Pelodiscus sinensis: one gene and its partner. The protein of the gene in region 1 binds, or shares a complex with, the protein of each later gene. Links are inferred from orthologs where the notes say so. Each region holds a gene or a part of one and is shown in the gene's direction. Other genes may lie near its edges. The genes, in order: GLI1 and SUFU.

Evidence for each region.
Region 2: the proteins of GLI1 (region 1) and SUFU are in contact, whole or in part, in a crystal structure (PDB 4KMD), measured with the Homo sapiens proteins. The link is inferred for Pelodiscus sinensis from reciprocal best matches to the Homo sapiens genes GLI1 and SUFU. Residues at the interface, in NP_005260.1 of Homo sapiens: Gly119, Ser120, Tyr121, Gly122, His123, Leu124, Ser125, Ile126, Gly127; in NP_057253.2 of Homo sapiens: Leu144, Tyr147, Asn153, Thr154, Phe155, Gly158, Asp159, His160, Val161, Ser162, Trp163, His164, Gln212, Asn265, Leu266, Ser267, Gly268, Val269, Ser270, Ala271, Glu376, Leu380, Lys398.

What each region holds. Positions count from the first base shown.
Region 1 is NC_134729.1:2,898,291-2,909,484, reverse strand, and holds the start of GLI1 (zinc finger protein GLI1), read left to right. Parts: upstream 1-6,559; 5' UTR 6,560-7,535; intron 7,536-11,194. UniProt on the Homo sapiens protein: Acts as a transcriptional activator. Binds to the DNA consensus sequence 5'-GACCACCCA-3'. Regulates the transcription of specific genes during normal development.
Region 2 is NC_134718.1:72,979,713-72,990,270, reverse strand, and holds the start of SUFU (suppressor of fused homolog), read left to right. Parts: upstream 1-5,732; 5' UTR 5,733-5,765; coding exon 5,766-5,917; intron 5,918-10,558. UniProt on the Homo sapiens protein: Negative regulator in the hedgehog/smoothened signaling pathway. Down-regulates GLI1-mediated transactivation of target genes. Down-regulates GLI2-mediated transactivation of target genes. Part of a corepressor complex that acts on DNA-bound GLI1.

The sequences.
Region 1 (11,194 bases):
AACTGGGGCTCAGGAGTCGGGGGGCTGAGGGTCAGGGAAGCTGGGGGTCAGGGGAGCTGGGAGTCGGGGGAGCTGTGGGTTGGGGCTCAGAGAAGATGGGGGTCGGGGGAGCTGGGGGTCAGAGGGGCTCAGAGAAGCTGGGGGTCAGGGGGGCTGAGGGTCAGGGGAGCTGGGGGTCGGGCGAGCTGGGGGTCGGGGGGCTGCGTAGGATCAGTCAGGTCTCCCCCACTCTCCACCTGGCCGTGTCTGTTCCCTGCTGGGCTCCCCCCCCGTGCCCCCCCCCCCGATCTCATTGTGCAAGCGTCCGCTCAGGGCCGCGTTATCTGGGGCCGAACCCTGATCGCTCTCACGGCCTCGTGCCCAGCGCCGCGGGCAAAGGGCGGCTTTCGTCAGCCGGGCAGCCCAGCGCCCGCCGAACATGCGGGGATCAGCTGGGATGGAGCCGCCTTCCCCTCCCCCACCCTGCCTGGGGGGGAAAGGCCAAGCTGCTCTGGAGTGTTATCCCCAGAGCCTCCCGCACTCCTGCCCCGCGGCCCCCGCCCCCCCAGCCCTGCCCCCCCCAGCCCTGCCGGGCCCCTCACTCCCGCCCCGCAGCCCCCGCCCCCCCAGCCCTGCCGGGCCCCTCACTCCCGCCCCACAGCCCCCGCCCCCCCCAGCCTTGCCCCCCCAGCCCTGCCGGGCCCCTCACTCCCACCCCGCAGCCCCTGCCCCCCCCAGCCCTGCCCCCCCCAGCCCTGCCGGGCCCCTCACTCCCGCCCCGCAGCCCCTGCCCCCCCCAGCCCTGCCGGGCCCCTCACTCCCGCCCCGCAGCCCCCGCCCTCCCAGCCCTGCTGGTGCCCCTCACTCCCGCCCCACAGCCCCTGCCCCCCCCAGCCCTGCTGGAACCCCTGGTGTTCAGTAGCACAGGCCTGGAGGTGCCCGGCTGCCTGCGTGCGGCTCAGCGGCTCAGCGACACGCTGACACACTAACCCACCCAGCCTGGTGTGTGCAGCTGGGGGGGGCGTCCTGCCCTTAAGACTTTAATCCACCTTGTCACCTGCTTTCACTTTCTTAAAGGCACAGCCCGAGCTGGGGGGGGGGGGGGCGAAGGAGCAGGATGCTGGGTGTGTGTGTCCGTCCGTCTGTCCCTCCTGCCGTCTGGTCGGGTCTCGCTCTGCCCGAGCCCAGCCTGGACGCAGCAGGAGGCCGTGGGGCGGGGACCAGTTCTGGGGCATTCACAGGAGCAAGGAGCCCCCCGCCCCCGGGAGCCCCATGCACCAGGGGCCCCAGGACGTCTTCCAGCCCCCCAGCCCCGCAGGACCTGGGCCCTTGGGGGCGGAGCCCTCAGGTGCGCATGGAGCTGCAGTCAGAGGGGGCGAGCGCCAAGGACGGAGCAGGAGCCAGCGGTGCCCGAGGCAAACGCTGGGCGCTCGGCTGGGGAGCAGGGGAACAGGGGACACGGTTTTTGCTGGGGCGGGGGGTGGGGGGGGTCACTGATGGAAGTGGTTGAGCTTTTGTGGGGAGGGAAACTCGGTTCTGCCCCCTCCCTGCTGCTGCCCTGCATTGCGGGGGGGGGGGAGGCTGAGCCAGATTCTGGGCCAAGCCTGGCAGGAGGGGGGGGGGTCTGCTCCTGGGTCCAGCTGGCCCCAGGCAGCCCCTGTCACCCATGGAGAGCTTGGACATTGGCCGTGTGCAGCTGCTGCCCTGTGGCTCCCCCCCCCCAGCTCCTGGCAGCGCCCAGGTGTCACCTTGGGGGGCAGGATTGGGCCCACAAGCTCCATGGCTCACAGCAGTGTGTGTGTGTGTGTGTGTGTGTGTGTGTGTGTTTGCACCAACACCTTCGTGGGCAGTGTGTGTGTGCACGTGTGTATGGTGTGTGCACCAACGCCCCCCCATAGGCAGTGTGGGGTGTGTGGGGGGGGAGGGTGTTTGCATTAGTGCCCCCTGCAGAGTCACATTTGCCCAGTCCTGATGCCTTCCACCCCCAGGACAGATGGGCGCTGGGATCCAAATCCCCACCCCCCCACCCCGCCCAGTGCTCATTTCACTGGTGACCACGAGGGGGCGTCTGCACATCACTCCCTGTCAGCCGGGGTAGAGCTGGGAGGGGGACAGGCCGGGCTGGCAGGGGCTGCAGGGTGGGGGTGGGGGGCACCGGCCGGGCTGGGGGAGCCCAGGGCCAGGCTGGCCGGGGCTGCAAGGCGGGGCTGGGGGGCACCGGCCAGGCCGGCTGGGGCTGCAGGCAGAGCGGGGGGTCCACAGGGATTTGCTGCAAACAGACCCCAAATGCAGCAAGCGCTCCTGTCCCACGAGGTTGTGTCCCCCTTGGTCCCGCTCGGCTGGAGGGTCCGGCCCAGGCAGCGGGGCTGGGAGGGGGAGAGCGAGGGGGGGGATCCGGCCCATGCAGCGGGGCTGGGAGGGGGAGGGCAAGTGGGGGGGGGTCTGGCCCAGGCAGAGGGGCTGGGAGGGGAAGGGGGAGGGTGAGTGGAGGGGGGTCTGGCCCAGGCAGCGGGGTTGGGAGGGGGCGAGTGGGGGGGGTCCGGCCCAGGCAGTGGGGCTGGGAGGGGAAGGGGGAGGGTGAGTGGAGGGGGGTCTGGCCCAGGCAGCGGGGTTGGAAGGGGCGAGTGGGGGGGGTCCGGCCCAGACAGCGGGGCTGGGAGGGGGCGAGTGAGGCGGGGTCCGGCCCAGGCAGCGGGGCTGGGAGGGGGCGAGTGGGGGGGGGGTCCAGCCCAGGCAGTGGGGCTGGGAGGGGGCGAGTGAGGGGGGGTCCGGCCCAGGCAGCGGGGTTGGGAGGGGGCAGGCGAGTTGGGGGGGGTCTGGCTCTGGCCCATGATGTCACCCACTGGGCAAAGGCCACGCTCCCCCCCCCCCCCCCTCCCGGCCAGCCCTTTGCCCCGCATTCGGTCGGCAGGGCAACACTCCAATGGGATGGCGGGTGGGGCGGGGCCACCTTGGGCTAAAAATAAACCCCGCGAGGGCGGGTCGTTACCCTGGTGCCCGACTCCTGAGTTCTCTTCCCAGCCCTGCCGGGGCGGGGGGGGGGGGGGAGGTCGCACAGGCCGGCCCAGCTCTGACGCAGACTCTGCCTTGCGTGGCCTCGTCCTGCCTCGGTTTCCCCACCCGGACCTGCCTCAGGCCAGCCCACTCGCCTGGCAGCGGGTCTGGCCCCACGAGGGAGTGAGGTGCTCCCGCTGCCATGGGGGGGGGGCCGGATGGGGCATGGCCCTGTTGCTGGGAACAGCCAGTTCGGCCTTGGCCGCGGGGCAGGTCTGGAGGTGACGGGAAATGCAACCGCCTGCCGGAGTTACCCAAGCGGCAGCTGGCCCCGGATCCCCCCAGCACTGGGAGCCTGGCCCCGGTGCCTGTTTGCTTGCCATGTGGTGCCTCAGGAATCACACCCCCCCCCCCGAGATTCACCCTACGGCCTTCCCGGAGGGCAGCGAGCAAGCAAGACTCGGATTCGGGGGCGGGATTCGGGGGACAGCAGAATTTGGGGTGGGGGGATTTCGCAGGCAGCAAAACTGGGGGTGAGGTTGGGGGGGAGGAGCTGAACTGGAGCTTCCATGCTTCCCCCCAACCCAGGGCCCCCCCCACAGGGAAACGCCCCGAGACAGGCTGTGGGCACGTGTTCCCCCTCCAACCTCCCGGCCCCAAGCTCCTCGCGCTGGCGAAACCACCACCAGTGGGCCGGGCTCTCTTCTCCGGACCAGTGAGGAAGACTCCTCCCCACACTTGCAGCAGCTGGCCAGGAGATGGGGAAACTGAGGCACGGAGGAGGGTGGGCCCCAATGGAGAGTCAGTGCCCCAGTCTTCAGAGCAACACTCCTGCCCCAAGGCCTGGAGCCAGCCCCTCCTTGTCCCCCTCCTTGTCCCCCAGCCGGTGACACGAGGAGCAGGTGAAGGGCAGCCCGATGCCGCTTTACAGCCACGGAAACAAGCTCCCGCAGCCCAGCCCAGCTGTCTGGCCCAAGCGGAGAGCACAGGGCTTGTGCAGATGCATGGGAGGAGGAGACAGATGATTCTCACACACACACACACACACACACACACACACACAGCAGTGGCCATCCTCCAGGGGAGGAAACTGAGGCATGGGGCCCGCGCCCACCCGTGGCAGAGCTGGGAGCAGCCGGCTCTGCTGGGTGAGCTGATGTGGGCACAACCCTCCCCCCCGCCCAAGGCCTGGGGCTTCTCCCCCCACGTGGGAGCAAGCAGGGTGGGGCCTGGGGTCTGGGTTCCCTGCAGGGCTGTTTGGGCCAAGCCCAGCCCTGGATGAGCAGCTAGAATCTGGGACAGAAATGTCCCACGTCACTGAGCTCTCAGGCCCCACCTGGCCTGGTAGCCAGAACTGCTTCTGCCCAGTTGCAGTGTGGAGTGTAGACGGGACCTGGCCTCATTCCCTGACTGAGCGACCATCTGGCCCAATCCAGGGAATCAACCGGGTGCAAGGCCCGGGCTTGCTGCAGCTTCTGCCCACCGATGGAAGCGAGTGGGGTTGGCTAGGCAGCCCCTAAGATTCCCCAGGGCTGCTTGCTGTGTGGGAGGCGCCTGCCTCAGTTTCCCTCTGTAGTGCCAGGCCAGGGTGGGATCCTTTCACAATGCGGCTGCCCTGTGGCAGTTTAGTGGCTGCCTGGCCCCACCCCAGAGGTAGCTGCATGGGCATGGAGCAAGGCCAGGAGAGGAGCAGGGCTGGGGCCACTCTGCACCGGGAATCTCAAGCCCTTTCAACCCTGTTCCCAGCAGGCTTGTGCTGTTAAACCCCAGGCCGTGGAGAGGGGGGGCTGGGGATCCCTGCTATGGGGCACACGGGGGGCCAGGTGTGTTCTCAGGGTCCCCACTCCCCTTCCAGAACGCAGGAGTCCTGGCTCCCAGCCCCCCTGCTCTGACCACTACACCCCACTCTCCTCCCAGAGCCAGGAGAGGTGCCATGTGGGAGGTGGGAGATAACTGGGTGGTGCCATGTGCCTGGAAACCTGCATCAGCCTGAACCTGGGCCTGGCAGGGGAGAGTCTCCCCACTCCGGGAGGGCGAGGGGTCTGGTGGGCGGAGCAGGGGCGGGGGGGGAGCCAGGACTCCTGGGTTCTATTCCCAGCCTGTCCTCCCCCCTCCCGGCTGTTCCGCTTGTACCAGGGCTCGGAGGCTCCTGGTCCCAGCACAGGCCCTGAGGGGCCATGTCCAGTCCATCACCCCCCGGCTGGGGACCCGAACCCCCAGACGGGTGCTGGGGCAGATCGCCCCCACAGCATCCTCTGCCCCCCCCAGCACCCGTAGATGTCCCCCAGTAGGAATCCAGCACCTCCTGCTGGGTGCTGAGAGGGAAGGTGGGCGGGGGGAGCTGGGAGAGTGAGGGGCAGAAGAACCCTGGGGGGGGTGTGGGGAACTCAGGGGAACCCTATGGGGGGGCTGTTGGGAGCTGGGGTTGAACCATGAGAAGGGGGGGTGAGTTCTGGGGGAGAACTGGGCTCCATGGGGAAGGGAGGCCAGCCTGGCCCAGCTGTACCAGAGCCCAGAGTGGCAGGTGGGGCCCCCTCGGCTCTGCGCATCTGCCCCCCCCCACGGGCCATGAGGTGGCATCGCCCCAGTGTGACATCACGGGGGGAGGTGGCAGCAGTGAGACATCATGGCGGCCTGGCACGGTCACAGTCTGGCACCGTAACACGACCTTGCCGGCATGACATCATGATGTGCTGCCTTGGCCACGCCCCCTCGCCGTGTGACATCACAGCTCAGGGGCTCTGACATCATGGGGGCCCTGTGAGGTCAGCACCCTGCGACCCAGGGAGGATTCGTGGCTCTGCCACGCACGGGCGCTCGGAGCCCTGCCGGGCACAACCCGGAGCCGGCTCACATCTGTCAGACTGACAGCCGAGAAAAGGGGATTCTCACCCCCCCCCGAGACTCCCCAAAGACACCCCCTTGCCAGCAGCCCCAGTGAGGGAAGGGCTCCCGGCGAAGGGGCCTGCGGATGACAACTCATTGGCACTGCTGGGGGTGGGCAGGGAAAATCCCATGTGTTGCTCCCACACCGGGAATGCCTCCCCGCACCTCCCGAAAATTTGCCATCTCTTTGGAAAACCTCATCCCCTGGAGATGTTTCCTTCCAGGCCCTGAGCTTGAGACCCCCTCGCTGGGGACGCAGGCCCCTCTTACGCTCACCCCACACCCTGAGCCGCGACATTTGGGGGGTCGTTTGAGAGCACCCAGTCCTTGGAGAGCTGGCTCCAAGCCACGGCTCCTGCTAACTCCCCCCAGGGCTCCGGAGTGGGGAGAAGTCCCCCACCCCGTTTGCCCCAGCCCCGTGGACTCGGAGGCAGCGCCCTTGCAAGCAGCTGCCCAAGATCGCGGTACCACCCACGTTCGTCCTGCCTGCCCCCCCAGTCCCTCGCCGTGACTCTGCATCGGTGGCCCTGCCTCCCACCCCGGCCCCTCCAGGCCCAGAACTTCGATGTGAACTCCTCCCCTCTTGTACAGCCCCTGAGAGCCGGATGGGTCCAGACCACAGCCCCAAGGGCCACAAACGGAGGCCGAGCAGGCAGAGAGCATGAAAAAGCGCCCACCCGAAATGATGCCTGGATGGGGCAAGTTGGGAGTTTGCAGCCGGATTTGGCTGCCTGTTGGTGTGAGTGTGTGTGTGTGTATACATGTGTGCGCGTACATACTGTGTGCGCGTGCGTGTGTTTGTGTGTGTATACGTACTGTGCGCGTGCGTGTGTGTATACGTACTGTGCGTGTGTTTGCACGCTCTGTGTGTGTGTATGTGTGTGCGCGCACGCTCAGTGTGTGTGTCTTTGCAGGCTCTGTGTGTGCATGTGTGTTAGTGTGTGCACTGATCCATCCCAGGTTTTCAAAGTGTCTCTGAAATTGTAGACAGCATGCTGTGTGAATTCAGTTGTAGGGTCTTCCCTCACACCGCCTCACACAGTGCACAACCCTCCTCCACCCTCAGCCTTCAAAGTTTTTCTTAAAAAAAAAAAAAAAAAAGCTTCGAAAAACTGCTCCACAACTTGAAAGGGGCAAGAAGGAGAAAAAATTTTTTTTGTGTCTTTCCTGACACTTCCCCCAAAGCCCCAGCGCAGCATCAAAGCCGAGCAGCGTAACGCTGAGTCGCTCTCCCATGTGGAAAGACTCAAGAAATCATCAGGAAAGTTTCTTAAAGAAAAACAAAACTTCCTTCTCCAAGGTGGTCCCGGGCTGCAGTCTGAGAATGGAATATTTATAACCCGGCCTGCGTCGGGCAGATGGGACAAAAAGCACATTTTTTAACCATTTTTTTTCCTTCGAGTGGATTTCCAGGGAAAAGACAGAAACGAAAGATGGGGAAAGTTTTGTGACGGGGAAGGCTCGCAGGCTCCGTGGCTGCCGGTTTGGGTTTGCTGGTTTAATCCTTTCGCTGGATGTTACATTTTTCTCCGGGAAAGAAGCCAAGTCCCCCGAAAAGTGGAGTTCCAGCCTCAAGGCACCAAAGCGAGCGATTTTGGGGGAGAAAACACTGAAAAGGAAAAGAAAAGGGTCCTTCCTTTGGATCGTGAGTCACTATCCCGTTCCAGCTCCCAAAGGTACGATTCATTTTTTTAGAATCACTTTTTCTTTTATAAAATGTTAACTACAATTCTGAGGGGAGCAGGAATTTTGCCCAGTATTGTGGTTTCTGGTTCCAGGGGATTGTTTTGCTTTTAGGACACTTTGTCTCAGGACCTGCCGGAAGGATTTTAATTTTGGGGGTTTTTTTCAACCACACAAACCTTGCGAAAGGCTTGATCCTTTTTGGCCGCGGCGAGATGCGTAAGTAGCTATTCCGTGACTCCAGACTTCGGTGCCCACAGGCAAAGCGCAACTGTAGCTAGTTGGCTTCGAATTCCTATGTGCCCCATGGCCAACAAAACCCAGCTGACTTGACAGTAAATTTCCCTTCGTCCAAGTTTAATTTGCAAAGTTTCCAAGTCGCTTTTTTCTCCTCTCCCTTCCTCTCCTTTTGGCAATGCAATCCAGGAGGCTCCCGACGTCTGGACTCAGATCAGGTCCAATGAACCCAGCCGGGAGTGTGTGTGTGGGGTGGGGGGCACGGCCAATTACTTTGCCAAACTGGAATTTGCGGGGGTGCTTTCCTGGGCTGCGGAGACACACGCAGGCCTGGTGGCTGGGCCGCGATCGCCCAAGGAGATGCGGCCGGCTGGTGCGAGGCAGAGCCTGGGGCGGGCGGGCGGGGTGGACGCCGGTACCGGGACAGACCAGGTGGAGGAGAGGGAGGGTGGAGACTCCAGGGACAGGTGCAGCCTCAAGGTGAATGCAAAGGGCGGGCTGCTCCCTTGGGGTATCTGTGGAGGGGCGGGGAGGGCCCCGCAGGCCAGGAGGAGGGAGCCGGGGGGCGGATGCTGCTGAGGCCCCGAGAGCAGGGGATGCCCCCCAGCCGGGGTTGTGGATCTGGGGGGAAGGAGGCGATGGGGCTGGGTGATAAGTGGGCACCTGGAGCAGCCCGTCTGTGGCTGCTGGGAATCCCCGGCGTGCCGGCTGCCCCCCCCCCCAGAGCCCCCGGCCGTGCCAGGAACACCTGGGCCAGCCCCTGCCCCTCCGCGGTGCCAGGCCCATCTCCAGCGCGGCGGCCGGGGCCTGACCTCGCCGGGCAGAGGGAGCCGGAGCCGGCCCGGGCGCGGTCCCGCCGCACCCCTGGTCCCTTGGCCGGCTGCCGGGCAGCGTTGGCAGGGCCCGTTCAGGGCGAGGCTGCAGCTTTCACACTCCCCAGAGGAGCGTCCCAGAAGCCACCGGGAATCAAACCCGGGGGCCGGGAGAGGCCAGTGGCTGCCCCACCCGGGGAATCCTCGGCCCAGCCCAGGGGCCCTGAGCTGCACGCTGCCGCGTCAGCAGTTCCTGGGCTTGCCACAGAGATGTTCAGGGCTGGGTGGGAAGGGAGAGCCCCTCCGTGGCGGGGGGCTCGGCAGGAGGTGCCTGGTGGTAACACCTGGAGGTGCCGACGGGCCGGGTGCTGCAAAGACCCGACCCCAGATCAGGGCCCTGCCCGGCTGCATGGACCCGACTCGAAATCATGGACCCGACCAGAGAGCAGAGCCCGCCAGGCTGCATGGACCCCAGATCTCTACCTACAAACTCTGCCCGAGAGTCTCGGCCTTTCGGGGGCTCACGCACCACGGCCCATTGAGCCCTCGGTCTCCGCTGAGCCTGCCGGCTCGGTGCCCGGGGTGCGGGTGGCTTTTCCAAGCAGACCCCCCCGTTAGGAGCCACAGGGGCCCAGCGGGCGCAGTGCAGGAGGGCAGCCAGTTCTGCTCACATCCCTGGGCCGCGGCTGAGGCCCAAAGCCGGGTGCTGACGCGGGGGCACCGCATCGGCTTGGAAACAGCTTGAAATTCAGCCCTGTAGACAAAGCCCCGGTTCAGCCAGCGCGCGGGCTCCGAGCTGCAGCCCTGAGAAGCGGTTTGCTCCCAGGGAGAGCGTGCATTCGCGTCCCTGAATACCCCCTGGCCCCCGCTCGGCCCGGCTCCCTGGGCGTCTCCGTCGCTCTCTGGGCCCCATTTTCAGGGGCCACACATGGGCCCTGCACTCGGCCACGCCCCGTGGCCCGAAGGGTGCATCCTATGGTGCCAGGAGCCAGCGGGGCCTGGCCCAGCTCTGCAGCGCCGGGGCCGTGCGAGGCTCCGGGGTCACTAGGCAGGGACTGGTTTTGAAGGTTAAATATCAATTTACATCAAGCGCATTGTTTGCCCCTGGGCCCCCCAGGGCTGTTCTGGGACTGCTGGGTGGCCAGGGGCCGGGAGCCAGGGCCCTGTTCCTGCCTTCACCGCTGATTCCGGCTGGGTCCCTTGGCCCCTCTGCGGCTCTGGGGCGGTGACATTGCAGCTACGACTCCCTGTCTCCCAGGCTGTAAATTGTTGGGCGTCTCTGGCTGCCAAAGCAGCGGGTGCCAGGCCAGGGCGGAGGGGCAGGGGCTAAGTGAGGCAGTGCCAGGACTGGCGGAGAGGCAGGGTGAGCAGGCGGCAGGGCAGGGGTCGGGGCGGACGCAGGGCAGGCCCTGGGATACAAGTGGCCTCGGTGACGGGTACAGCCCTTCCGCCTGTTTGTTGATTTGTGCGACTGACTCCATGTGACGCTCGGTCCCCGCCCAGCGCCGGCTCCTGTCGGCTCCGGGGCAGCTGGGCACGGTACCCCTGGCCAGACGGGGGCCGCAGCTCTAAAGCTGCGGGGGAGGCTGCCTCGCATCCCGGCTTTTCTCGGGCCCGTCCCGGACGCTCGCCCGCTCTCAGCGTGGCTTCTGGTCTATGGGTCATGTGGGTGGGGGATTTCAGTCCCCCACTTGGGGGCTGTGGATCAGGGGTGAGGGGCACCGGCAGGGCTGGGGGGTCAGGGGCTGGAGGTTGGGGGTGAGGGGTGCCGGCAGGGCTGGGGGGCTGCGGGTCGGCAGTGAGGGGCACCGGCCAGGCTAGGGGGCCGGGCTGGGGGGCTGGCAGAGGCTGCAGGTGAGGGGTTCCGGCACAGCTGGCTGGAGCTTGGCTGCAGTGCGGCACAGGGAGCCGGGCGAGGCTGCCCGCTGCAGAGAAGCCTCCGTCCCATGCAGTGAGTCATTGGACACCTTGCAACATGTCGGGGCCCTGGGGTGGGGAGGGCGAGGCTGGAAGCTGGAGCCGAGCCCACAGCTGGAGACTCCCGTAACTCGAGGCCCGCTGGGGGGGGGGGGGGACACCCCGCACCTGGTGGCACCTGGGTGACCTTTTGCATTCAAAGGGGGCCAGCTCCATTGTGCTGTGGGCTGCTAGCTTACAGCCCCCCTCAGCCCCTCGCCTGCCCTGTTCTGCTCACACGAGGCCTCACCCGGCCCCCCCGCCTGCCGCGTCTCCCCCGGCCTGTGCCACCGCCCAGCTGGCTTTATGGGTGTCTTCGCCCAGCCCCCGTTGGGGCAGCCGGGACGCCCGGGTTCTGCTGCTCACTCGGACGCGCAGCGTGTCTGTGGGTCCGAAACCACCACCTCGCCCTGCCTCAGTTTCCCCAGTGCCGGCAGGCTGCAGCGATGGCGCCAGACGGCTGGCAAGGCTCCGTGGGGAAGGCGAGGGGCTGCAGAGCCCCCCCGTAGGGCTCCCAGTGAAGTTGTGTCTCCGCTTTGCCTCCCAGCAGCCCCTCCCACCCTGCCAAAGCTGCAGAGAAACCAGGGTGCAGCTGCCAGGAGCAGGAAGAGGCAGAAACAGCTGGGGATGAGGAGTTAGGGGGAGTT
Region 2 (10,558 bases), on another chromosome or scaffold:
GACTCCAAGATCTCTCTCTTGAGGGGAAACTAGGGTTGCCAGATGGTTTAACCAAAAATACCGAACACCCCCTTCCCTCAAAAAAAAAAAAATCTGGGAAAAAATTCTGTTGAGGAAAAAAAAGGGGGGGAGACCAGCATGGCCCCTTTAAGAAATGCTTTTGAGCGTTTTTGGCCCTAACATGCTGCCGGCTGCCATCTTGTCTTCCTGCTTCAGGCCAGACAGCTCCCCTGCGGCACCACGTAGGCACCCAGGATTTTCACCTCCTGGCTGGGAAGAAATCAGAAAATACTGGACATTTTAGGTATCTGGTATTTTCTGACTTTGTTTACCGGACAGGAGGTGAAAATATTGGACTGTCTGGGTCAGTACTAGATTCCTGGAAACCCTAAGGCTGTGTCTAGACTGGTCAGTTTTTCCGGAAAATCAGCCGCTTTTCCGGAAAAACTTGCCAGCTGTCTACACTGGCCGCTTGAATTTCCGCAAAAGCACTGACGATCTCATGTAAGATTGTCAATGTTCTTGCGGAAATACTGTGCTGATCCTGTTCGGGCAAGAGTCCTTTTGTGCAAAAGTGTCAGTGTAGACAGCTCAGATTTGTTTTCCACAAAAAAGCCCTGATTGCGAAAATGGCAATCGGGGCTTTTTTGTGGAAAACAAATCTAGATTGGCACGGATGCTTTTCCGCAAAAAGTGCTTTTGCGGAAAAGTGTCCGGGCCAATCTAGACGCTCTGTTCTGAAAATGCTTTTAACGGAAAAGTTTTCCATTAAAAGCATTTCCGGAAAATCATGCCAGTCTAGACGTAGCCTAAGAGAAACAGCTAATTTAGACCCCATCATTTTATACGTGTAGTTGGTATTGTTTTCCAATGTGCATTACTTTGTCTTTATCAGCATCACAATTCATCTGCTATTTTTGTTGCTCTAGTTTAGTGAGATCCTTGGGAAGCTCTTCACAGTCTGCTTTGAACTTAACTATCTTGAGCACTTTTGTATCACCTGCAAATTTTTCCACCTCACTGTTTACCCCTTTCTCCAAATTTTTTATGAATCTGTTGAATGTGCTTGGTCCCAGTACAGACTCCTGGGGGACTAGGGGTGTGAAAGGTTAGCCAGTAAACGTCACCCCAAATGGATAATGCTTGCTGTTTCCAGTAACCAGTGGCTGGAGCAGCTCCCTGCATGCTGTGGGCACAGAGGGCCCACTGCAGAAAGGGGCTGTTTTTGTCTGGAGCAGCTCCTGTCCAGGGTGGTCCCTGGTGCCCCACAGGCAGGCTCTGCTCCCGTGGAACAGTCTCTGTTTACGGGGAGCCCAGGCCTGCCACAGACAGGGGCTGGGAACTAGGAGCCAGCAGCAGCTCCAGACCCAGCCTCTCCCCCTAACGTTTAACCAGTGAACTAATTAACTAGGATTTGACATCCTTATACAGGACACAACTAGTTACCTCCCTCCATTCTGAAAACTGACCATTTTTTCCTACTTTTCGTTTCCTATTTTTAACCAGTTACCCGTCCATGAAATGACCTTCCTTCTCCCATAACAGCTTACGTCACTTAAGAACCTTTGAAGAAAGACCTGGTCAAAGGCTTTCTGGAAAACCAAGTGCACTACAGCCACCGGCTCCCTGCGGCTACATGCTTGTTGATGACCCTCAAAAAATGTTAGTGTATTGGTGAAGCACAGAGCCAGTATTTTTGTTCCTCTGCAGGTTTTCTTTACGAGAATATGGCAATGACCATACTAAATCAAAGCAATGATTCATCTAACCAGAAATTCTCTCTATCACTGACTAGTACCAGCTGCTGCAGAGGAAGGTTTAAAAAATCACAGCCTGTAATGAACTATGATGAAATTACCTACTGGCTGCGTCTAGACTGGCATGATTTTCCGGAAATGCTTTTAACAGAAAAGTTTTCCGTTAAAAGCATTTTTGGAACAGAGTGTCTAGATTGGCATGGACGCTTTTCCACAAAAGCACTTTTTGCGGAAAAGCGTCCATGCCAATCTAGACGCGCTTTTCCACAAAAAAGCCCCGATCGCCATTTTCACGATCAGGGCTTTTTTGCGGAAAACAAATCTGAGCTGCCTACACTGGCCCTTTTGCGCAAAAGCTTTGTGCGAAAGGGACTTTTGCCTGAACGGGAGCAGCGTAGTATTTCCACAAGAAGCACTGATTTCTTACAGTAGGAAGTCAGTGCTTTTGCGGAAATTCAAGTGGCCAGTGTAGACAGCTGGCAAGTTTTTCCGGAAAAACGGCTGATTTTCCGGAAAAACTGGCCAGTCTAGACACAGCCACTCTGTGGGAAAGTGTCTCACTAAGCCTATCAGTCATTAATAATTTTTCCCCTAAGGATGAGTGACTATATCCCTAATTTAAATAAAAAACAAGTGAAGCCTTGTTTTGCAGGCTAATGTGGTTTATGGATGTTTTCATTACCCATCTTAATGACTAACCTTGGAATAACTTAAAAAACAACAAATAGTCTGGTAGCACTTTAAAGACTAACAAAACATGTAGATGGTATCATGAGCTTTCCTGGATACAGCCCACCCAGGAAAGCTCATAATACCATCCACATGTTTTGTTAGTCTTTAAAGTGCTACCAGACTATCTGTTGTTTTTTAAGTTTATCCTGTAACAGCTAACTTGGATACCCCTGAAGCTCTTTAACTTGGAATGCTGCTAAACTCTACCTCAGTGATACCTTGTAGTAATAATTTCCATGGATTAATAAATAGTTCATGAGGGAGGAGGGGAAATCTTTCAATTTTCAATTTGTTGTCTTTCAAATTAAGTGCTTCTCTGTATGTCTCTGTTAGGAGAGAGAGGAAATGACAGTGGTTAATCTCCCTTTTGTATATAATTATTATTATTTGATTTATTATTCATCCATCATATCCCTGGTAAGTAGCCCAAGTTTTTTCATCTCTCTCTATATTTAATCAAAAAACAGGACGCTGTAGCACTTTAAAGACTAACAAGATGGTTTATTAAGTGATGAGCTTTCGTGGGCCAGACCCACGTCCTCAGATCAAATAGTGGAAGAAAATTGATCTGAGGAAGTGGGTCTGGCCCACGAAAGCTCATCACTTATTAAACCATCTTGTTAGTCTTTAAAGTGCTACACAGTCCTGTTTTTTGTTTCAGCTGCACCGGACTAACACGGCTACATTTCTACTACTATATTTAATCAGTTTTCCATCACTCTTTGAGCCCCATCAATTTCTTCTATGGTCTTTGAGGTGACTGACTGAATAATCCATGTGATGGTGTATTTTCTTTTTGTAATGCCATTCTAATATTTTCAATCCAGTAGAACTTCAGGATTAAAACCTCAGAGATATGTACTGACCAGCCAACCACACCACCTCCTTTGGAACTAGAAGTATGCACTCAGACCACGCCAGAGACCAAAATAAAAAGAAGCCAATACAGTTCAGTGTGTTAAATGTAAACTACTAAAGGGAACTATTTCTGGGCTTGTTTCCTTTAAATTAAGATGGCCATAAGTAGCATTTTTCTTCTATATAGTAGAGTTTCAGAGCTGTATTAAGTCAAAGTTCAGTTGTAAACTTTTGAAAGTATAATCATAATATTTTATTCAGAGTTACAAACATTTCAGAGTTTAGCTTTTAGGTGCTACTGTACTAATATTGATTCATTCTTTATCCATCCTATTAACATTCTGATTGTTTGCTGCTGGCACTGAGCAGAAAGTTATAGTCATCTGTGCAAAATGAGAGTCCTTTTTGTGAGTGCTGCTTTCAGTTAATTGTAATCAGTGTGCATGAAGAGTGTTTAAGCACTGGGTCATTGGATCCACTCTGTCTCATTCACACAGTGAGCACTTCTGTGCTGACCTTTCCATTTATCCCAGTAAAGCTAATCTCCACTCAGTTATTTATCTTAATAAATGTAATTTGTAGTGTTGCTGTAGACTAAGTTCCCTGTAAGTTGTGCAGCAGTGCAGCAGGCTATTTAGGACCTCACAGATGGGAAGAAGCATCCCTGCGGTGTTGAAGCTACTGTAGCCAAGGAGAGGGAGGGGCCCCTTGCAGCTGAGGAGAGGTGCCTTTTACCTCGCCCTGAGCTGCTGCAGTGAGAGAGGGCTGAGGGGAATTCTGTTTTCCCTGCTATAATGCTGAGGCAGCCTGCATCCTGTATCCCTTATTCCTGGCTCCATCCTAGACCTTTCACCCCCAGCTAGAACGCTCACCCCCTCTGCCACAGTCCTGACCCCCTTAGCGCCCCCCCCCCCCCGTCCACATGTCACCTCCATAGTGGTGCACGTAACAACATTCATTCTACACAGGCATGTAAAACATTAGAGGGAACACAGGCTGCAGCTGTGTTGGTCCCAGGAGATGTGAAAGTTGGGGGGGGGGCGGAATGGGGGTGAGGTAATATCTTTGTATTGAAGTTGAATGAACTTCTGTTAGTGAAGAGACAAGCCTTTGAAGCTACATAGACAGAGGAACTGACAGTCATGTTGGGCCCTTGGGAAAGGTGAGGGGGGCCGGCTGCTTACTCCTGAAAGGGGTGCGGCCTTAGGTGGAAAGGGTGGGGCTGAGGGCAGCCAGCTCTCAGCACCTCCCCCAGAGGGCACTACGTTGGACCCTTTCCCCGGCCCTAAGAGCTGCCCGGAACATGCCATGCAGGGCTCTGGCGGCAATTGAAAAGGCCTGGGGCTCCAAGCGCCACTTCTGCAGTAGCAGAGGTGGCTGAGAGCCCCGGGCACTGGGGTAATTGCCCCCTTTGCCCCACCCTGTCAGTGAGCCTGTACAGAGAGCTCCTCTGCAGGTCTGAGTGTCTTGGCTGACTAGATTGTGACATTTTCAGTGGTTACACATTTACATGGGGGGGCAGGCAGCTCCGTGGGAGTCAGTGCACGGAAACGGCTTAAAAGCCAGCTCCCTGTGCGGATCAGCTCCCTCCTACCCCTGCCGCCTCTGAGACAGAGGCAGCAGGGGGGAGGAGGCGCTGGCTGCTATTCCCCTCCCACCCCCCTCCAGATCTGGAACACTATGAATCAGCTGATTTGTGGCATTCCAGCTCTGGGAGGGGGCAGGAGGAGCTGGGGTGTAGCACGGATCAGGGGAGTCGCGTGCTCCGAAAGCGCAGGAGGGACGGGGAGGAGTTGGAAGTGTGGGGCTCCGGTGTGCTGGCGCGGGGGGGGGGGGGAGGAGTTGGAAGTGTGGGGCTCCGGTGTGCTGGCGCGGGGGGGGGGGGGGAGGAGAGCAGACGGGGTCTGTGGGCTGCAGGTGAGGTCCCAGCGGGCTGCACGTTGCCCACCACTGGCCCAGGACTGCACGAAGCATCCAAGGGCCCTATTAACAGCACAGGGCCTTCTCCCTGCCCCATAGCTTCCCCCTTCCTCTGCTCACCCCTACAGGCCCCCCAGCTCCCGCCCCTGCCCTCTGCCCCCCTATAGGGCCCGTTCTCCTCTGCATGGGACTTCTCCACGGGGCTCCCCCAGCGCCCCCTCCCCCTCCTCCGCGGGCTGCTGCAGCCGCAGGCCGCCGCCGCCAGGGGGCGCGCGCGCGCCTCTCCGCCGGGCCGGGCGCCTCCTGCGCCGCGATTGGCGGAGCCGCCCGCCCGTCACGGCGCGGGCAGCCGGGCCCGCCTCCTGGGCAGCCGCCGGCGGACGGAGCCGCCTGGGCCGGGTGCGCGCGGAGCCGGAGCAGCCGCCTGGGCCCGCGGGCCGCTTCCGCCCCTCCCCCCCCCGCAGCCGCACAGCGCCCCCCCCCCCGGAGCGCGGGCCCATGGAGGGCGCGAGGCCTGGCGGGGCCCCCCCCGGGCCCGGCTCCTTCCCCGCGCTCTTCCCCCCGGGGCTGCACGGCATCTACGGCGCGTGCCGCCGCCTCTACCCCGAGCAGCCCAACCCGCTGCAGGTCACCGCCATCCTCAAGTACTGGTGAGCGGGGGGGGGAGTGAGGGGGGGTGGGCTGGGGGGGGACTCCCGGGGGGGGGAGTGAGGGGGGGTGGGCTGAGGGGGGGCTCCCAGGGGGGGAGTGATGGGGGGTGGGCTGAGGGGGGGCTTCCTGGGGGGGAGTGATGAGGGGGGGCTCCCTGTGGTGGGTGAGCTATGGGGGGGCTCCCTGGGGGGACGGGCTAAGGGGCATCTCTCTGAGGGGGGCTCCCTGTGGTGGGTGAGCTATGGGGGGGCTTCCTGGGGGGACGGGCTAAGGGGCATCTCTCTGAGGGGGGCTCCCTGTGGTGGGTGAGCTATGGGGGGGCTCCCTGGGGGGACGGGCTAAGGGGCGTCTCTCTGAGGGGGGCTCCCTGTGGTGGGTGAGCTATGGGGGGGCTCCCTGGGGGGACGGGCTAAGGGGCGTCTCTCTGAGGGGGGCTCCCTGTGGTGGGTGAGCTATGGGGGGGCTCCCTGGGGGGACGGGCTAAGGGGCGTCTCTCTGAGGGGGGCTCCCTGTGGTGGGTGAGCTATGGGGGGGCTCCCTGGGGGGACGGGCTAAGGGGCGTCTCTCTGAGGGGGGCTCCCTGTGGTGGGTGAGCTATGGGGGGGCTCCCTGGGGGGACGGGCTAAGGGGCGTCTCTCTGAGGGGGGCTCCCTGTGGTGGGTGAGCTATGGGGGGGCTTCCTGGGGGGACGGGCTAAGGGGCATCTCTCTGAGGGGGGCTCCCTGTGGTGGGTGAGCTATGGGGGGGGCTCCCTGGGGGGACGGGCTAAGGGGCATCTCTCTGAGGGGGGCTCCCTGTGGTGGGTGAGCTATGGGGGGGCTCCCTGGGGGGACGGGCTAAGGGGCGTCTCTCTGAGGGGGGCTCCCTGTGAGGCAGGCGATCTAAGGGAGGGTCCCTGTGGGGGGGCTTCCTGGTGAGGTAGGCTAAGGAGGGGCTCCCTGTGTGGGGCAGGCTAAGGGCTCTTGTGTGGGGCTCCCTGTGGCATTCGCCTGGACCGGGAGGGGCTCCCTGAGTGGGGAGGGTTGACTCCATCTGTGGGTAAGGATGGGGGGGTCCTGTGGGGGCAGGTACATTGTTCTGAGCGGAATCAATTTGGCAGATCTACTCTTGCTCTTTATTTGTATCTGCCCTCCTTGGGAGCCACTAGAGCCCAGTCCGGTCTGTTTTCTGTGGATAGCTGGAGGTCCGCAGGGTGAAACTCAGCATTGGGGTATCCTGGCCAGTGCAGGATTAGGGGTTGTTTTTTTTTTTTTTTTTTTTTTTTACCCCACAAAAGCTTTTCTGGTGCTTTGGAAAACTTTAGTTAAGGCTCTGCATGCTTTGGTGTTTTCCCTTTAATTTCATCAGGTCTGCTTCTGGTTAGGCAGAAGTAGAAAAGTAGTTGTTCCTGGGCTGGTCACTGATGAATCCAGGCATCCTTGCAAAGATGCACTGCTCTTGTGAGAATCTAGACCAGTGCTTTTTGGATGAGGAAGGCGGATTCTTCTGGTTTGTTGGCTGCTAATACAAATCTGGGATCTAGACCTAATTGCTAAATATCTAGGGAAGCTTGAAAAGTAAATGGTTGAATTTTGTCTGAGTGCAGGCTAACACTGCACAGATTTGGTACCAAAGTGGGTTGATCAAATCGCTACAGCAATAGAGATTTAGATGTCTGCCTTTAGGCATTCAAGTGCTTTCTCTTCTGTCAACAGTTTATGTCCATGTCAACTGGAATGAGACAAGATTTGTGTGATATGAAGGTAGAATTGGGTCTATAATGATTATGATAAAGTCCTCTTTGGATTTTAGGAATAAATAGCTCTGAGTATCTCCTACGGTGCTAATCGGTTGAGAGATGTACACTCATGTCCTAGATCCTGAAAAAGGCGCTAGTGGTAGGGATAATACTGTTTTTCTGTGGTCAGATCTTAGGCCTTAGCTCTAATGTTTATCACCATTGTTACCTCCTGTGCATTTTAATTGGTGGTCATACCAGTGGCAGCATGTCTAGCACAGTCAGTATATACTGCAGCTGCTACCCAGAGGAAATTTTAGCAACAGGTCTAGTGTTGACATAGTGTTATAAAGTCTATCAGAGTCTTTAAACATTTGTAAAATATTTGCTGAATTCATTGTTGTTCACACTTTCCTGTGTGGTTGTCTTCTGTCCTCATTCTTCCGGGCTGCAAGCAATTAGAATGGTTTAGATCAGTGATTGTCAGAATGAGTCTCGTGAGCTGCAAGTGGCTCTCTAATGTGCACGTGCTATTAAAGCACTGTGTGATTTAATTATTAACCAGCCTAAGTTATTAACCAATCAGAATGCTTTTGCGATGTTGTTAACCAATTGTAGTTGATAAAATTTGGTCATTTTGTTGTGTGACTTGTACTATAATAAATGTTATTTATTTATGAGAGACAGTTCACAGTACTGTGGCACTTTTGGGTAATGTTGATTGATAATTTGGCTCCTGAACCACTGAGTTCCAGAGTATCACTAGTTTAGATTCAAAGAGGAAATAGCTGAACAGAGCTCAGTCCCTCAGGGATAATAATACAACTCTAATCCATTTTTAATTATACGTAACCAGTCTCTTAAAAAAAAAAAAGTTGTGATTTACAGGATATTGCAGTGTTAAAAGGGTTCTCTGGCTTGCAAAACAAGGCAAGTATCTATGTAAACATGCAGCAAAACCAAGTAAACTGCATACCTTTTGAGGGGGAAAAAAACTGAAGAATGAAAAATATTTCATGTATCACATGTATTCTTTTAACATGTTTCATTTGTATATTTTTGGAAATTAATTCAGAAAGCTTTTGGAGCTTTTGGAAGCACTCCTGTGTCTATGTGTGTGGAAACTTCTTTGTAATCTTCAGATTATTATATTTAACCACCTTTCTTAATAAGAGCTCCTGAAGTAAAATTCCTTCATGACAAAAAATTGCAAGCAATAGACCAGCATTGTTATATTCCTTACTTTGATAGAAAAGTTTTCAAAATTTGTGGAATTGAGCTGTTTCATCCTTGTTCTTTCACCGCTTTGTTTCCTGTCACATTTTATTGTGTCAAGGCATTTTTGTAATAGTGCTGTTACATTCATTAAAAATGGAATTATCACGTTACCTCTTTTCACTAATCATCCATTAGGAGGGTAAAGCTGAACACTTGCTCAGGTCTTCCTCCATGACAGAAGCACAGGAAGTTTAACATTGGTCAGCTCAGTGGGGAATTCTTCGTGCAAGTATAGTTTTCCCTGTGACTAGCCTTATTGCTAACATCCCCTATCCAGTTGACCATGGTATAAAACATGTATATCCCATGCTGAAAATTTAACTTTCAGAAGTTCTACTTGTTCTAAAAACATTCCAAACACTTCCATTTATCACAATTTTGTGTCTGAACCTTTATACAGAGAAATGAAGATTACAGTGCAGTTGCAAAGTGCGCATTGTAGCGAACTCCTGCCGAGAATAGTATTTGAAGAGGTATTTGGAAGGCTAAAAAGTAATGAGGGTGCAGAGATTTCTGCGAGATATGGGCAGTTCTGGTGGATTATTTGGGTAGCATGAAGAGTGGAATTAAGTGTCATACAGACAGGCCTCTGTCCTGATGAAGTTAAAGTCTAGGGTCCTGAGATACCACTGAGGAGCCACAAATTATAGCAACGGGGCCTGACCAAACAGCATATAAAAGGGTGGGGGGTGCAGCCATTTTAGTTCCATGGCTTTTTTGTTTGGGTCTTTTTACATTTGTTTTGCATAATAGAGTATTTTTGTTTTGACCAGAAAGCAGGTCATACCGGAAGCAGTTAAACAGCCACTTGCTATGTTCCATAAACATGGCTGACATCTTGTGTCTTCTTGTTTTCATCTGTCCTTTCTGTTGTCTGTATAGACAGTACGAATAGCAGGGGAAATAGCTTGGCACATTTTCTCATACTGACGTGGAGTTACCTTTCTTTCTGCACAGCCAGATGTGACTGCAGATTGCTAATGAGTCCACTAACCTTGTCAGAGTGTCAACAGTGTGTAAAAAAAAAAAAAAAAGTCTGCACATTCCATTTTATGTAAAATGGATTATTGTATTAAGTAGTCTGCTAGTTGATATGTCCTGACTGTAAGTAGTGTTCCACTTTGCCAGGGGTTCTCTGCCAGGGGTATGAGGCCATGGAAAGGTGGAGGACTATGAGCAGGTTTCAGGAGGTCCACCAAGCAAGGCCAACATTAGACTCGCTGGGGCCCAGGGGTGAAAATCAAAGCTTCACCATGTGGGCCTGAATTCCAGGGCCCTGAGCCATTCGGGGCTGAAGCCAAAGCCTGAGCATTGTAGTTTGCTGAGGCCCTGGGCAGTTCCTGTGCTTGCTAGTCCTTAACACGCCTCCTGGCTCTTATATGCAGAAAACCTGAAAACCTGTTGTGGTACAGGTGGGCCATGGAGTTTTTATAGCATGTTGGGGGTCTCAGAAAGAAAAAGGTTGAGAACTCACAATGCAGCCAGTTCTCATGGGTAACTTCATGCTGTGGGATATGTTTTTAAGTCATTTTAAATGGATAGTCTGAGGCAATGGTTCCCAACCTTCTCGAGCATACGACCCCCTTTTCAGTCTTAAAATTTTACAGACTCACCCCCCCAGGAGAGTGGCGGGAAGCGGTGGCCA